2 linked regions of the Lonchura striata genome follow. The protein of the gene in region 2 interacts with the protein of the main gene of each other region in a biochemical or structural test. Links are inferred from orthologs where the notes say so. Each region holds a gene or a part of one and is shown on either strand. Other genes may lie near its edges.

The links. The genes of interacting proteins can lie anywhere in the genome.
Region 1: the proteins of SEC31A (region 2) and SEC13 form a complex in vitro, tested with the Homo sapiens proteins (2 studies listed by BioGRID and IntAct, with this or other methods). The link is inferred for Lonchura striata from reciprocal best matches to the Homo sapiens genes SEC31A and SEC13.

What each region holds. Positions count from the first base shown.
Region 1 is NC_134614.1:23,854,967-23,862,355, forward strand, and holds the start of SEC13 (protein SEC13 homolog), read right to left. Parts: upstream 3,037-7,389; 5' UTR 2,941-3,036; coding exon 2,938-2,940; intron 2,764-2,937; coding exon 2,719-2,763; intron 1,766-2,718; coding exon 1,650-1,765; intron 1,213-1,649; coding exon 1,061-1,212; intron 509-1,060; coding exon 375-508; intron 1-374. Other genes in the region: cullin-associated NEDD8-dissociated protein 1, read left to right, coding at 3,356-3,423, 5,552-5,695, 6,919-7,073. UniProt on the Homo sapiens protein: Functions as a component of the nuclear pore complex (NPC) and the COPII coat. At the endoplasmic reticulum, SEC13 is involved in the biogenesis of COPII-coated vesicles.
Region 2 is NC_134606.1:60,924,181-60,931,545, reverse strand, and holds the start of SEC31A (protein transport protein Sec31A), read left to right. Parts: upstream 1-4,362; 5' UTR 4,363-4,478; intron 4,479-5,019; 5' UTR 5,020-5,023; coding exon 5,024-5,102; intron 5,103-5,624; coding exon 5,625-5,748; intron 5,749-7,365. UniProt on the Homo sapiens protein: Component of the coat protein complex II (COPII) which promotes the formation of transport vesicles from the endoplasmic reticulum (ER).

The DNA.
Region 1 (7,389 bases), on a different chromosome or scaffold from region 2:
TTAAACAAAAATCTACACAATTTTGGGAAAAAAACAGAAGTCCCACATTTTTTTCCAGCTGATGCATGTATACTTAGAACCAAGGCCATTTCTTACCAGGTAGCTTTCAGCAGTGTATTTAACAATAATGCCCAATAAACAGGCATTGCCAGTGCTGTTTAGTGAACTTCATCATATTTCCACTTTACATTTCACATTTTAGTGACTAAAACATATACCTTCCTACTCTGGATGAACTGAAACTATTCTTGGTTCTGGATGTTTCACATAATTTCATCACATTTCAGTACTTATCTACTCATGTCTCTGAGGCATCACCTCGGTGTTATCTGCAGCTCTGGGAACTCTGAGCTGCTCCAAAGGACCAGACTCACCGTGTGTGCATTGCTGATCTTTTTGACTTCCCACTGCCCATCACCCGTGTAGCTCAACAAGGAAATGGCCCCATCAGAGCTCCCACAGGCCAGGATCAGTCCATAGTCGTGTGGTGCCCAGCAGACAGAATTCACTGGGAAGGGCGAGACAGACCAGATTACAGCACAGCGACTACCTAAAGCTGACTGACCAATTCACTGACTGGTATCAGTGGCACGGTCACCAAAAGCAAGTGGCTTTGAAAGCTGAGAATGAGTCAAATTTCAGCAGAAGCCAGCCAATTAGCATTGTTTACTGAGTAACAGATCTGCATTGGGAGGGTAAATCATCTGAACACAACATTTTCAATTTTAAAACAAAATACAGCACGGTTAAATAGTTTTTCTAACTGTAAACTATATTTTCCTCAAGAATTCAGTTCCGTGACATCTTTATTTGAAAGCTGACTTATTTGTGTACCAACACTTATGGACACATGGTATGAATCAGTAGTGGGTTATCCAGCAATACAACCCTAGGGAAATGTCTTGTTAGCGCTGAACAGATTTACTCTCTCTTCAGTTTTTATCCTTTTCCTTTTGACACAGACTTTCTTACTTAACAGTAACAGATTTATATCAGTCTTACCCAAATCCCCTCATCTCCTCATTTTTCCTTCCCAGCTCCACACTCCAGCCCTCCATACCTGAAGAATCATGTCCCGTGTACTCGTAGGTCTTTTCCCAAGTGCCATTTTCTTCCTTCCAGATGATAACCTTCCTGTCATAGGAACAGGAAGCCAAGATATTCCCATACATAGGATGAGCCCAGGCAACCTGCCACACGGGACCTTCGTGCCTGCAAGAAACAACATCATTAGGAAAAGCTGAGAGAAACCCCTTGCATCTGCAGCTGCCTCACAGATCACCGTTGTGAAGTGCTGTGCTGGGAGGGATTAGAGCTCTGACATGAGGAATGAGTAATGCCAAGATGGCAATGTTAGTGTCCCAGCACAGGGCTCTCACTGCCACAGAAAACAATTCCAACTTGTAGCAGTATATTACTTCTTGAAAATCACATGTGCACAGTACTAAATGAATGATCAAGCCCCACTGTGCTTCCCACTGGGGCTCTGTCCCCACCCCAGCTCTGAGAAGCTCCTCAGCAGTCTTGGAGGAGTTCACCCTGCATGCAAGTCAACCTGCACTCTGTGCTGCCCAAGGGCAGAAGGGCAAAGCACCAGGCAAAGCACCAAGATTTTGCCCCAGTTAACCTCTCCTGGTGTGACATCTCACCCCCTCAGGTCCGCAATGAGGATCTGCCCCCCGTTGCGGACATCGAAGATCTTCACGGATCGGTCAGAGGAGCAGGTCGCCAGGCGCGTGCCGTAGTAATCCATCTGTGCATCGTGCTGCAAGGAGAGCGGGAGGGCTGTGCTCAGCACGGCACGGCCACTGACTGCTGCAGCACAGCCACCCCAGGCCCTGCACACCAGGTCAGAGGAACGGTTCTAAACAACCCACGCATGCCCAACTAGCTTCCCCAGCTGCTTCCTCAATCACTACACAAAAGTTACACAGGAGTCCAGGGAATTCTGAGCAACAACCACAGCATTTTCATGACAGGGAATAGAGGCTGCTGACTACGAAGAGGTGAGCAGTTATGTATTTCTGTTTCTTAAAATGTCAAGTGGGTGTACAAATACTGCTCTTAATTATATTTGAAACTTCACCATCACTGAACCACAGAATCTTTAAGGCTGGAAAAGTCGTTCAAGGTTACTGACTACAACCTTTGACCAAAGGTTATCTCTTGTCACTATGCAGAACACTGCATACAACAACCAGTCATTTCCTGAACACCTTCAGGGATGGTGACTACATCACCTCCCTGGGCAGCCTTGTTCAATGCTTAATAGCCTTTTCTGTGAAGAAATTCTTCCTGAAGAACTAGGCTCACCTAACTGGGCTCCTACCTTCAACAAATTACTTTGAAGCGTTTCTGCCTACCCACAATAATACATCTATTCCCAGATACATCCACTTAAAGGAAAACCATTATTATCCACCAAAGGTCTGTACCAGAAAATATACTATTACTTCACAGAAACGGGCAGAAACAAGCCTTAATTTTCACATGAACATTAAGATTTAAAATAATTTTCCCTTTTCCTCCCAGCAAAGTTTTCCTCTCCACGCAGTATAAAACGGCAAGATCAGGATTTCACACCGCATTCTGCATCCAGGACCCCACAAGTGCGCTCTTACAGCACATACGTGCGGCCCCGAGTGCTCGCAGAGAGCCCCAGAGCAGCTCTGCCACAGCAGCCGCCGGCCCGGGCGGCGCAGCTCCCGGCACACTTACGATCATGTCCTCGTGGGACGTGTCCACGGTGTTAATGACCGACACCTGCGGGGAGAAGGAACACAACGAGCTCAGCGCGGCCGCGGCCCCTGCGGCCCCGGTCCATCCCCGGCCGCCCCGCCGGGTCCGGCGTACCCTGTGCCGTGCCCGGTGCCCCGCGAGGCCGCACCCGGCTGCGCTCGGGCCCGCACCGGGACCCGCCCGCCCCCCCCGCCTCACCATGGCTGCTCCCGCCCGGCTGCTCCGGCCCCGCCGCTCCCGGCCCCGGCGCTCCCGGCCCGGCCTCCGCCCGCGCGCTCAGACGTGGCACGCCGGTCCCGCGCACTACCGGCCCCGCCGCGCCCCGCCCGCCTGCGACGGCGTTCCGCTCGTGCCGGGTTCCGGGGCGGCCGCTGCCTCGGCTGGGCCAGGAGAGGGCGAGGGGGGAGCGGGACTGCCCTGTCCTGCCGCGAGGACCAGAGGCACCGCCGGCCGCGGACAGAGCCTCTGTCGGCCCCCGGGCGCTGCCCCGTCCTGCGCCGGCCGCGGACAGAGCCTCTGTCGGCCCCAGGGCCGCCCGGCCCGGCTCCTCCCGCCGGCTCGGGGCCGCCCGGCGCGGAGCGGAGCGGCCGCGACTCGGGCCCGCAGAGCCTCCGCCATGGCCAGCGTCTCCTACCACATCTCCAGCCTGCTGGAGAAGATGACCTCCACCGACAAGGACTTCAGGTGTGGCACCGCGGGACGGGCCCTGCGGGCGGCAGCCACCTGCGGACACCTCGGGGCCCTGGGAGGAGGGGGCTGCCCAGAGCGGGGTCCTGCCGCGGCAGCAGCGCTGTGCGGGAGCTCGCAGCGCTGTTGTTTACGGGGCATCAAGCCCACTGTGTCCTGGCTCAGGGGGCATGGCCAGCGCCGCTCCCCTCCCTTGCCTAGACTGGTGCTTGGTCAAAGGGGAAGGGGGAATAAGTCCGGGCAGCTGGACTCCAAATTGTTATTTGTTTTGTGAATAAAGAACATCGTAGCAGAAATGCTTCTAGTTTCTTTTGATAATTGGTGAGATAGTCAGTGCATTAAAAGGGGTGAGTAGACCCCCATGACCCTGCGTGATAGATGCTGCACATACTGTCTCTGCTCAGGCTGCTTGGAGAACTTTCTTTGTGATGGGAAAATGTGCCTTCCTAACAGAACTGAGATACTTTTATTTCGTTGTTTATGTCAGCAGAAAAGTTGACATCTTTTTAGGGTTAGGCAGATGGCTCGATATGTAAGGCACTCTATCAAAAAGTAATTAAAACTGACATGTATGAAAGATTTCATTCCTTAGCATATTGTTCTCCCAGTATCAAACTGGAAGGTAATATTTGGGCCAGACTTGGTATTTTGAGGTCTAAGAAAGGGGCTACTAATAGCCTAAAAGTAGGTTGATTTTTGTAGAAGCTGCTGATGTTCTCAGATGTTAAAATAGGTACTTTATAAAGAAGTCAGTGATGGAGCAGTTGTACAAACAGTTTTGTTCAAAGAAAGTTACCACTCCAAGTGAGATGTGCCCGACCCCAGGCACGTCATGTCCCAGAGGTACTGCAGGGCCACTTCCTCCCAGCACATGGCTAAACATGACCTGTTATAGGGCCAGGCTTCTCTTGTTGCCCCTCAGGGATGGGTCTGCTGGTGAGATCCCAAGCTCCTGGGGCAGGATGGCAGCAGGCAGCCAGGCCAAAGCGGGATGTGTTGCCGCGGAAGGCTCTGTTCAGCCTGTGGCCATAATTGGTCATGCTGGTTCCACACAGACGCTGAACTGCAGAGTGCGGCTGAAGAGCTCTCGCAGAATCACAAATAGACTGCACGTTAACATCCTAGGGCACATTACTGCTGTTTTCTCAGGCTGGATTCTGGGCTGGCTGGGGAACAGCACAGCAGTCCCTCGTTCAGGTGTGCCTCACTGCTGCTCAGGAACGGGCTTGCAGGTTGAAGCCTCAAATGATGACCTGTACATGAGAGCTCTTATGTGCTGAATGAGTGACATCAAAGCCTAATTTAAAAAGGAGCTGTCATTTTGTAACAAGAGAGGACTTCCTGGTTCCTGTCAGACGTCCATTCTGTGTGGGGCTAACATTGGAAAGCAGCTAACACACGATAGCCACACTGAGATTTCTTAGAACCTCAGAGTTCTATAACAGCACCTTCTGCACTTCCTGCTCCTGGAAAAAGAGATACTTTCCAGAGCTTCTCAATATCCATTCTGTTCCTGTTAGAAAACTGTCAATTTGGTCTTTGTTTTTCTTTCTAATCTGGAATGGTAGTTACTTGACTGGTTTTGCTCACAGCAATCTAAATGTAGCCTAGTGCACTTCTGAGGTGTAGTTTGCTTGAAGTCATGACTTTCTTTTTTCATTTTTGAAAGTGATAGGGCTTGACCATGTCTGGGGTCATACTACCAGTGCTAAGTTAGACAGAAAGAACAGAGCTAGGTGAATTCTTAGTCCCCAGACTGCTTTTCCTAGGCCAGGTGAAAAACTGGTTAAAAAACCAATCATGATTTTTTTTTCTGGCATAGTTAACCATCTTCATTTAGTCGCTGAGAAAAATACACATGCTACATGCCACTTTTAGAGTTTTTGTTTACCTGACCCCTGTTAGTGTTATCTACTTGTTATCTAGTGTTATGTTGTAAGTGTTATCTACTTGTAAAATAGTATTAATTTTCCTTTTTCTTAGGACAGTGTTGTAAGTTACTCTTTGGTAGTGTGTTTTCAACTAGTGTTTTAGCACTAGTTGCCAAATTCTGTCCAGGTGATGCAAAGGTGATGCATTTGTGTCTGCACATCAGCCAATCCACTTTCTCCTTGTGTTCTTTCAGGTTTATGGCCACCAATGACCTGATGATGGAACTGCAGAAAGACTCAATAAAACTAGATGAAGACAGTGAGAAAAAAGTTGTGAAAATGCTTTTGAAATTGCTGGAGGACAAAAATGGGGAAGTACAGAACCTTGCTGTCAAATGGTAAGAGCCTAGGCAGTAATAGTTATGTTCCCTGGCATTAATAAAATCATCACAGACTGCAGAGAGTGTGAGAGCGGAGCCTGGCCCTTGACACCTCCCTCAAACCTCCTTTGCAAGGGACTTTGCTTCTCTGTTGTAGGCACTGCACTTTCTCCCCTTGTAGGCACTCACAAGGGTGAGCACACAGATACCTTTGTAGCAGCAAGAGATGATTTTAGAAGTACTTCAGTGTTCCTGTTACAAACCTTACCATGTGGAAGGTGGAGCCCTAGGATTTTATTTCTTCAGGCAGAAGCATACTTCAAAATTTTGCTCATCAACCTCTTGACCTCTCTCAGGCTTTGAAATCCAGTGCTGATTTTCTCTGTAGATCTGTCTTTGATAGCAATGGTACTAAACATAGTAGGCTTTAACTTCAGGTCCAAATCCTTCTCTTCAAAGGAGTTTTTATTGAACTTTATAGTGCACTTGGATTTTTCCCTGCCTTGACTCTTGAGAGCAGCCGGTGCTGTTGCTTTGCCTGTGACCATTCCCATATTTTTTTAATCCAAGTGAACAAAAGTAGCAGGTTCCTCTATTAGTGAATCCTCTGATAAAGGGATCCTGCTGCTGACATGTTCTTTCCCATCTCTTTCCCTAGCATGGCTAAGTGGGCGTGTTCAGTCTAGAAATGCCATTGAATGGCTCAGTTCACCCCAGGACTCCAGAAAGGTGTACCATTTAAAGACAACTTTGGGTTCCTCTGTTTTTTCCTGCTGTGGATCCTATTAGTATTCCTTTCTTTTCAACCACGTGCTGTTTCTATCCCTGTTCTTTCCCTGATATCTTTGGTCCTTTCTTTTTGATTCCAACTGTCCTGACTTCTTTTGGCCCTGCTCCTGTATCTCCTGTATCTGCTTTGGGTTGGTTTATTCTGGGTTTTAAAGCAAAACCATTGGGCACTGAGCAGAGGACCAACTTCTCAACTTCTTTGCGTGGTTATCTCTGGTTGTATTTGCAGTAAGTCCATACTCATTGCAGTCTCTTATCCATCCAGAGTGTGATAATGAGGAGGCCTCAAAATGGAACCAGGAATATTTCCTTTCCGTGCCTAAGGAGGTGCTTAGAGCGAAATGTCAGTCATTCCCAGATAGGTGGCCAGGATCTTTAAGAAGGAGCAGTGTGATGGTTTGAAGGATGAGGACAGTTGGACACTTCATCCTGAGTGGCTTCTCCTCCTGCAGCCTGGGCCCGCTGGTTGGCAAAGTGAAGGAGTACCAGGTGGAGACCATCGTGGACACACTCTGCACGAACATGCTGTCGGACAAGGAACAGCTGCGAGACATCTCCAGCATCGGCCTCAAAACAGTTATTTCTGAGCTGCCACCAGCTGCCACAGGTACACTGTCTGTTCCCATTTGTCACCGAGGGACGGGCAGTCCCAGCCTTTGGCAAATGGGGTGAAATGTAGAGTCCAGAGCCTAAAAGTTACCGATTCTTTACTCACCTGTCAGAGGACAATCTGCGAAATCAGGGGAGGGACAGTAGAGCTGAGGTACCAATGGGATGAAAGACAGAATTAAATGAAAACTTGAGCTGTGTTTGGAACTATGTATCATAAAAATGCATAAGCTTTTCAGGGGATACCTGAGGCTCCCAGCAACAGGATTTTCCTCTGCAGCCATCTCATCTGTCCTGATTAGATCTCCCAGTGA
Region 2 (7,365 bases):
AGAGAGAACAGGGGATCAGATAAACTTCCTTGCTTTGCTCAGTTAAACTCTGGTTAGGGGGTTTGCAGTGGCCCAAAACAGCACTGCTTATCAACACCAGTTTTGCCAACATTGTTTCCTCATGTATGTTGCCTAGAGCTATCCAGCACTGAGCTCAGCAAGGAACAGCCATCCTTGGAATTACAATATACTCACTAAGACCATGTGTGGGTTTAGCTTGACTGACAGCTACCCTGTGGTGATGGAAACAAATACTTTCCTTTCAGTCTCTTCAATTTGTGCCTTCCACAAGAGTATTTCAAATTTAGGTGTTCGGTGAGGTGTGTTCTTATGTTTAAGTAACACCGTGTTATTTCCTTTACTAAGATTGTGTAGTGGTTGTTGATGCTCAGTTTCCCCTCAAATAAATGGTTTGTGAGGGTGGGAAAGAGGGGGCTTTCTCCCAGAAGCTCCTGGAAGACTTTATGTTCTAGACACAAATGCCACAGCTTGGTATTTTTGTTGGCACCTCCTACTCTGCCATATCGGTTTAGGACTTGTTCTGAAATGCTTGTTATGTGGTGCACACTGGCCGAGGGCAGACTCATGCCACCTAATTTTTTTATGTGGAGCACTGACCTGCATCTTAGCCTGTTCTCATCCACCTCAAACAGAGAGGCAAAACAAGCCTCACACTGCAAGTCCACAGCCAACTGCTCGGCCACCCAGCCAGCAGTGCAGGTGAGGCTCTGCATGTGCAGTGACAGATCTGTCAGCGCATTGCTCAGGGCAGAGCTGGGCAAAAGCAGGCCTGCGCTGTAGGGGTAGTCTGGGGCCAGGGTCTTGCCTGGAGCTGGCTGATACTGAGCACGAATGCTTCCCAGAGTCAGAGCTCTCCTCTGAGACGGGGATGCGTTCCAGGGGCTGGCATTGCCACTGCTGGGTGGCGAGCTGGGGGCCAGGCTGCAGCTGGCCAGCAGTTTGTGGTAAGTAGCCTGGAACACAGCACAGGTAGGGCTGCTGCTGCCACAGGCTTGGTGGAGGGCCCTGAGAAACTGCTCCAGGGGGTCCAGGCTGAAGGCATGTGTGTGGAGGTGGTGGGAAGGAGTGCCTTTTTGACATGTGTGGTTAGAGGAAAGCCACTTAAGGCTTTCAGTGTTGAGCAAGAAGCTCAGAAATCCCAGTTTGCGTTTGCTCTTAATAATGTATCTCCCCACAGAGTCTTTTAAATTGATAAAGCAGCTCCTGGCTTCATCGAAGAGGTTGCTTATTTTGGTGAAATTTCCAGCTAGCAAAGACTCCTTTCCATAGGGGCCTCTGCCATAAAACACATCGCACAGCGAGCTCATCAGACGCACAAACTTGACAGTCCCACTGCAGTTCTGAAATGAGGTAAGGCCCAGTTTCTGGAGGTGCTCCAGTGCCTCAGCAACACCCTCGCTGAACAGCAGGGTAGCGAGGTTGACCTTCAGGTGGTAACTCCCTTTACTCCCAGCCCTGCCTGACTCAGGACTGCACAGCTCCAACACCCTCTGCTCACCCAAAGCTGCCAGCTCCACCACATGCTGCCACCACATGATGTCACCGAGCCACTCGACCTTGTGGAAGCACTGCAGAGCATTCCTTATCAGCAGGAGGGTATGACAAACATCAAAGAAGTACGCAATGCTGTGAGCAGAACCGGGTGGATGCTGGAAAGTGCACTGAATCCTTTTGGGATCTATCCTGATCCCCAAAGCCCTGGCAGTCTCAGCACCGCGAGCAGAGGCACCCGATGTCACAGCCAGGACCATCATCCCAACGTTGTTCAGCTTATGGATGGCCTGACGAAGGAGCTGAGCAAGGAAGTTGCCGGATATACTGTTCACCAAGAAATAGCCAAGGGGAGCTGTCCAAGGGCTCGAGATGCCGACTGCCATGAGGATTATTGCTTCCGACGCCAGTGGAGCTTCGTCAGCGTCAAGGATGCCTGCTCCCAAGTCAACAAAGCCCGTCAGCTGTTTGCTCTGTGGGTCCCACTCCTGCTGCTTCTGCAGGGACACATCCTGTACCAGCACGGCGCAGTAGCGGCAGGCCTGATCCCCTCTCTCCACCTTTTCCTGAAGCTGGAGAAAAATGTCACTGCTGAAGCCTGCAGCAGCCTCGTTATTAGACAGCCAGCTGAAAAAAAAAAAAAAAAGGGATGTGATTAGGAGACATGATTCTGGAAAAGTTGAAGCAACAGGCAGCACTTTTTACGACTTAGGACATGGTCAGCCATGCCCGAGCTGCAGAGAAGGCTGAGACATGCAGGGCAAAGAAGGCAGCCCTGGTTTCCTTCATGCATAGTCCGAGTTTCTCTCCTCTCACCCTAGTGGTAGGAAGCCAAGGAAAGTGTTGACCATGCAGGGAAGTAACAAGGCAGCTTCAGGACAGATCCGTTACATCTATTTCTACACCAGTACTGGAAATACATTCTGAATAAATGAATAACTTAAAACTTGCTTTGTCAGACTGTAAGGATGAGGGAGAGGAAGAATCTTCCGTAGGTAATCATAGGCCTTAATATGGTAGAGATGGAGAAGACAAGCAAATTGCCTCATTTCTGGTGAGTAGTCTGCCATCTGCCTCCAGCTGTGCAACTCTCGAGGCAAATCTGCTTAAGAAATCACAAAAGGTCAACTTTAGCGAAACAAATAAATGGCTGGAAACAGAGGGATGCATGCCATAAACACCCCGCAGAATACAAAGCAACAGCATGGCCTCTGGAACAACTCAGTCCTGAAGGCTGGCATGCAGTGTAGGGCTCAGCAACTACACTACTGTGCCTCGCCTCTTCCTTGGCACGGGTTAAGCAAAGACATGAACCCGGGGCCAGGGAATGCACTCTGCTTCAGCAAGCGTCCCGGCAGTACCTGAAAACTGCGCCTGCAGCAAACTCACGATTTCCTCAGAAAGCTGCCGCTTTTCCGCCAGCTCCCTGAGGATGCTCGGCACGGTCCTGCGCCGATGCGCGGGGCCGCATCTCCCGGCGGCCGGCGGCTGCTGCTGGTGCCGCGGGGCGTCCGGCGGCGGCCGCGGCTCCCGCTGTCCCTGCAGGCTGTAGTTGTGGTCCCCGGCGGGCGGGCTGGGCAGCGGCTGCTTCAGCGTTCGGCCGGGGGTCCCGCTCCTCCTGCGCCCGGCGGCCGGCGGCTCCTGGCGGGGCAAGGAGAGGGCAGGTCACGGCACACGGCGGAACCCCCGGGGGGGTCGGGGAGCGCGCCCGGTACCTGCCCGCACCGAGGGGAGGAAGCGGGAGGGCACGGCCCCCCGCCGCAGCTTCCGCCGCAGCCCGTAGCGCTCGAAGTCCCCTTCGGCGAAGTGTCGGGAGCAGAGGATGGCACCGGGGCCCGGCCGCCACGCCCGGCGGCTCCGCGGGTCCACGCGGTTCACGGCGCGGATCCACTCGCGGCGCTGCGCGGCGTCCACCGGGAACCTGCGGCAGAGGGAGACGGCGGGATGCAGGGACGGAGGGACGGAGGGAGGGATGCGGGCGGGCGGCGCGGGCGCACTCACTGGTGGAAGGAGATGCCGCGCTCGCGGCTCCGCCCGGTGTCGCGCGCGGTGCAGCCCAGCGCGGAGCAGCTCCGCGTCATGGCCGCCGCCGCCGCACCCGCCGCCGCGCGCGCGCCGCGCCGGGCCCGCCCATTGGCCGCCGCCGCCGCCCGCGCGCCCGGCCGCCGCCTCGCCATTGGCCGGCGGGGCCGTCGGACCGCGGCCCTATTGGCCGCGTCACCGCGGGAGGCGGCGGCGGGGCCGGGAGCGGCCCGAGCCAACCGGGAGCGGCGGCGGCGGCGGGCGCAGCCAGTGGCGAGGGGCGATCCTGAGCGCCAATGGGAGCCGCGCCTCCGGCCCTACTTATAGCGGGGCCGGCAGCGCCCGCCGCCTCTGCCGCTGTGCTCCCGCCGGGCCGCGCCATGCGGTCCGGGCAGCGCCCGCCCCGCGCACGGCGTCTGCCCGCCGAGCGGCCGCGGAGCCCAGCGGCGGCGGGAGGCGGCAGCGCAGCTGTGCCCCGGCTGCCGTGAGGAGGTGGGTCCGGGACTGTGGCCCCCGGCTGTGGAAGCCGGCTGAGCTCCCTTGGGCCGTTCCCCGCCCCGAGGTGGCCCCTGTCCCGTGATGAGTCTCACTGCTGTTCACATCCTGAGCACGCCATGATTACTGCCCTTGAGCTGAGGACAGGCGGCACCGCGGCCACCGCGCTGCCGGCGCTGCGCCGGGCTCCCCCCGCTCCCGGCGCCCCTAACCAGTCTCCCTCTTCCCCAGGCCCGATGGCTGCTCCCGCCCGAGGGACGCGGAGGACACGCGCGGAAGGAGGCGGCCGCACATCCCCATACACACTCTCCCATCACCACCGCCCCCCGGTTCCCGTGCGGAAGGCGCGGCCCCGCCGCTGCCGCCCGGAAGCCGCGGGGCGCGCCCGGAAGGCGGTGGCGGCCGGGAGGCGGTGCCGGGGCTGCCACGTTGGAGCGGTCCGGGGACGGGTGAGCGCCGGGGACGCCGATGTGAGGGCAGGGACGGCGAAATCCTCTGTTTCAGTGCTGTTTTCCTCCGGCTCCTGTCGGAAACGGGGCGAGGGTGGCGGTCCCGCTGGCCGCGCGGGGTGCCCCGAGGCGAGGGAGCCCTGGGAATGAAATGGGAGCCAGGAACGAGCCGCTGAGTGTTCGGCTTCCCGGGGCTGGGTTGGTTTCGTGGGTTAAGGCACAAAGCTGCTGTAGGGTGCTTGCTGCTGTGAGAAGAGGGTTTTTCACAGCTGTTGAAGCTTTGCCCACGTTTTCCTGTGTTAGGTTCAGCAGCCGTCAGTTTCCTCTGCGTGTCAATGTTACTCTGCTAATGGAGAGGCATTCCTTCCCTCCGCCGGGTGCCCTCTGGAGGGGATGGCTTGGCTGTCTGTCTGAGGGATATCTTTAGAAAAATGGTCCCTCTGGCTGCTTCTGCCGAGTCCTAAAGTGGCTTCTGTATCCGTGGCAGTGCAGTCTCACCATGCACCATTTAAGCATCACTTGTCTTGGTCTTACTTTTCAGCAAAATGAAGCTGAAGGAAGTAGACCGTACTGCCATGCAGGCATGGAGCCCTGCCCAGCAGCACCCCATTTACCTGGCTACAGGTGAGTTTTTGGGCAGCACGTGCTAGCAGACCTCGGGCTCTGTTTGGTGGCTGCCATGAAGGGGTTATTGAAAGCTGTAGGAGATACTCTGTGTCCTGAGGGCTGGAGTGCAGTATATGTTGTGGGGTTTTGAGCTGAGTTCTTGCATTGTGCTGATAAAAACATGCTTTGCATTCTGCGAGTAACAGTGAGAACCCTTGTCTTTCTGCCAGGGAAAGGTGACACCAATCCTAAGTACTAGTCACTTGTGGCTCCTTTGTCACTTTAACTGCGTTCTGTGCATCATCAGGGAGGTACTTGCCCAAATATTTTCCTGCTCATATTCTTTAAGAAACATCCAAAGAAAGAGCCATGGGGAGGAAAGTTGTGTGGAACTGCATCTAAGTAATAAAAACAGAAGCCTGAGTCCATCTCAGGATCGTTTTTGAAAGGATGATGTTTTTGTTCCCCTCCTTGTGCTGCATTTGCAGTTACTGCTCTGTGTATCATGGCTCTCTCACTGCCAGGTGTGCTTCCTTGCAGGTACATCAGCTCAGCAGCTGGATGCAACCTTCAGTACAAGTGCTTCTCTAGAAATATTTGAGTTGGACTTAGCAGACCCTTCACTGGATATGAAGAGCTGTGCCACATTCTCCTCCTCACACAGGTAGGCAGTGTTGTAAGGGAAAAGTACAGTGTGTGGAACTGTTATGTGTGGTATGTGTAGAGATGTCACTTCATGTGGTTTCACTGCACTTGTTGAGGAGAGAAGCAGTTCAGCACTGAAAGATGAAGGCAAGTGTGTGCAGTTGATACTGTGGGACAGTGATGTTGGACTGTAAGAAAGTAGCTCATGCTTTGACATAAACAGAAAATTTTTGACTATATGTGTGGAGCCTTTATCTTTGGAAGCCTCTGGGATTCACAAGAAAACAGAAGAACATGTGAAATTTTGGTGGCAACTTTTCATATTGCATCATCCTGTTTGTATTTAGGCATTTCAGGGGGACTCCTGTAGCATAACTAACTTGGGTTATGTTGTGTGTGTTCCGACAGCTGGGAAGCCAATTTTCTGGCTGCACAGCTCTACTTAGTTCCTCACCATGTGCTTATCCAGATAAATATTGTTAGCATCAGAGTATCCAGTTTCCATCTCAGCAGCACTCACAGCAGCTCCCTGGCAGAACTGAAACAGCCACAATCCCTTTTTAAATGCCCTGCTCTGTGAGCAGAGCTGATGTCAATATGTCCTACTGACCTGCTCAGAGCAGGAGGCAGTGCTGGATCTTGAGTTTCGTTGTTCTACCTTGTTTTAACTGTGAGTGAAATTTGTCAAGACTTGTCATTTGCATTCTGAATTTCTAGAAGCACTCCTTATAGCCAGGATGCAGTGCTCCTTGGAAAGTACCTCCCTTGACCAGCAACACGAGAATTTGACTTTGCCCCAGAAAATGTATTAAAAATGAGGTTGAGGGTTGTTTGTTTGTTTCCAATTAAAGATTAGATAGCAATGTATACGTCAGGCTGTATTTTGGTTTTCAGCAAATGAAAATGTCCAGGTGATTATACCCACAAAAGATAAATCCTTAATTGCCCTCCAAGCAAAGTTTTGCACTGCTTTTATAGAACCATACTTTATCTTGGAAAGAGTAAAGGGCAAAAGGAAAGTAATTGCACTGTTAATTTTTGGGGTTTGTTCCTCATTGTTTCCTTCCTTCATTTTGGGTTGTTTTAAGTCCTGTTCAGTCTTGGTGGTGATGCCTGGACAGCCCTGTCAGCTACTTCATTTCTGGTAAACTTGCATAGTTAGGTGCAGAAGCATAACAATCATACCCAGGAATGGGTCTGTCTGATATCACAAACCAATTTCCATTTGTAGCAGCATTCTTCCATGAACCCCTTCTGTAATCTCAATACTGGGAGCCTGAACACTTGGCTGTTATGGTATTTCTCACCCAGCATATGCTCTTTGGGTAGCTTTCTGCAGTCTCCATCTTACCATGCTAAAGTTGGTGTGATTTAAATAAATTACTTGAAGATTGCCCAGAGGTAACAAATGGATGAGCAACATTACAGTGAATGCTAAGGTATCTCCTTGCCACTTTCCAGTCAATGTGGGTTTGCTTTCTGCTTGCATAAGAGCTGGTAAGTAGTTGTGTAATTTTATGCAGAACATACTCATTCTTTGCATGGCTAAGTGCACAGGAATGCTGTTTTGCTTATGCAGGAAGTTAATTGACTTGAAGAGAATTTGGGTATTTACAGATGGGCACAATAGTGTTAA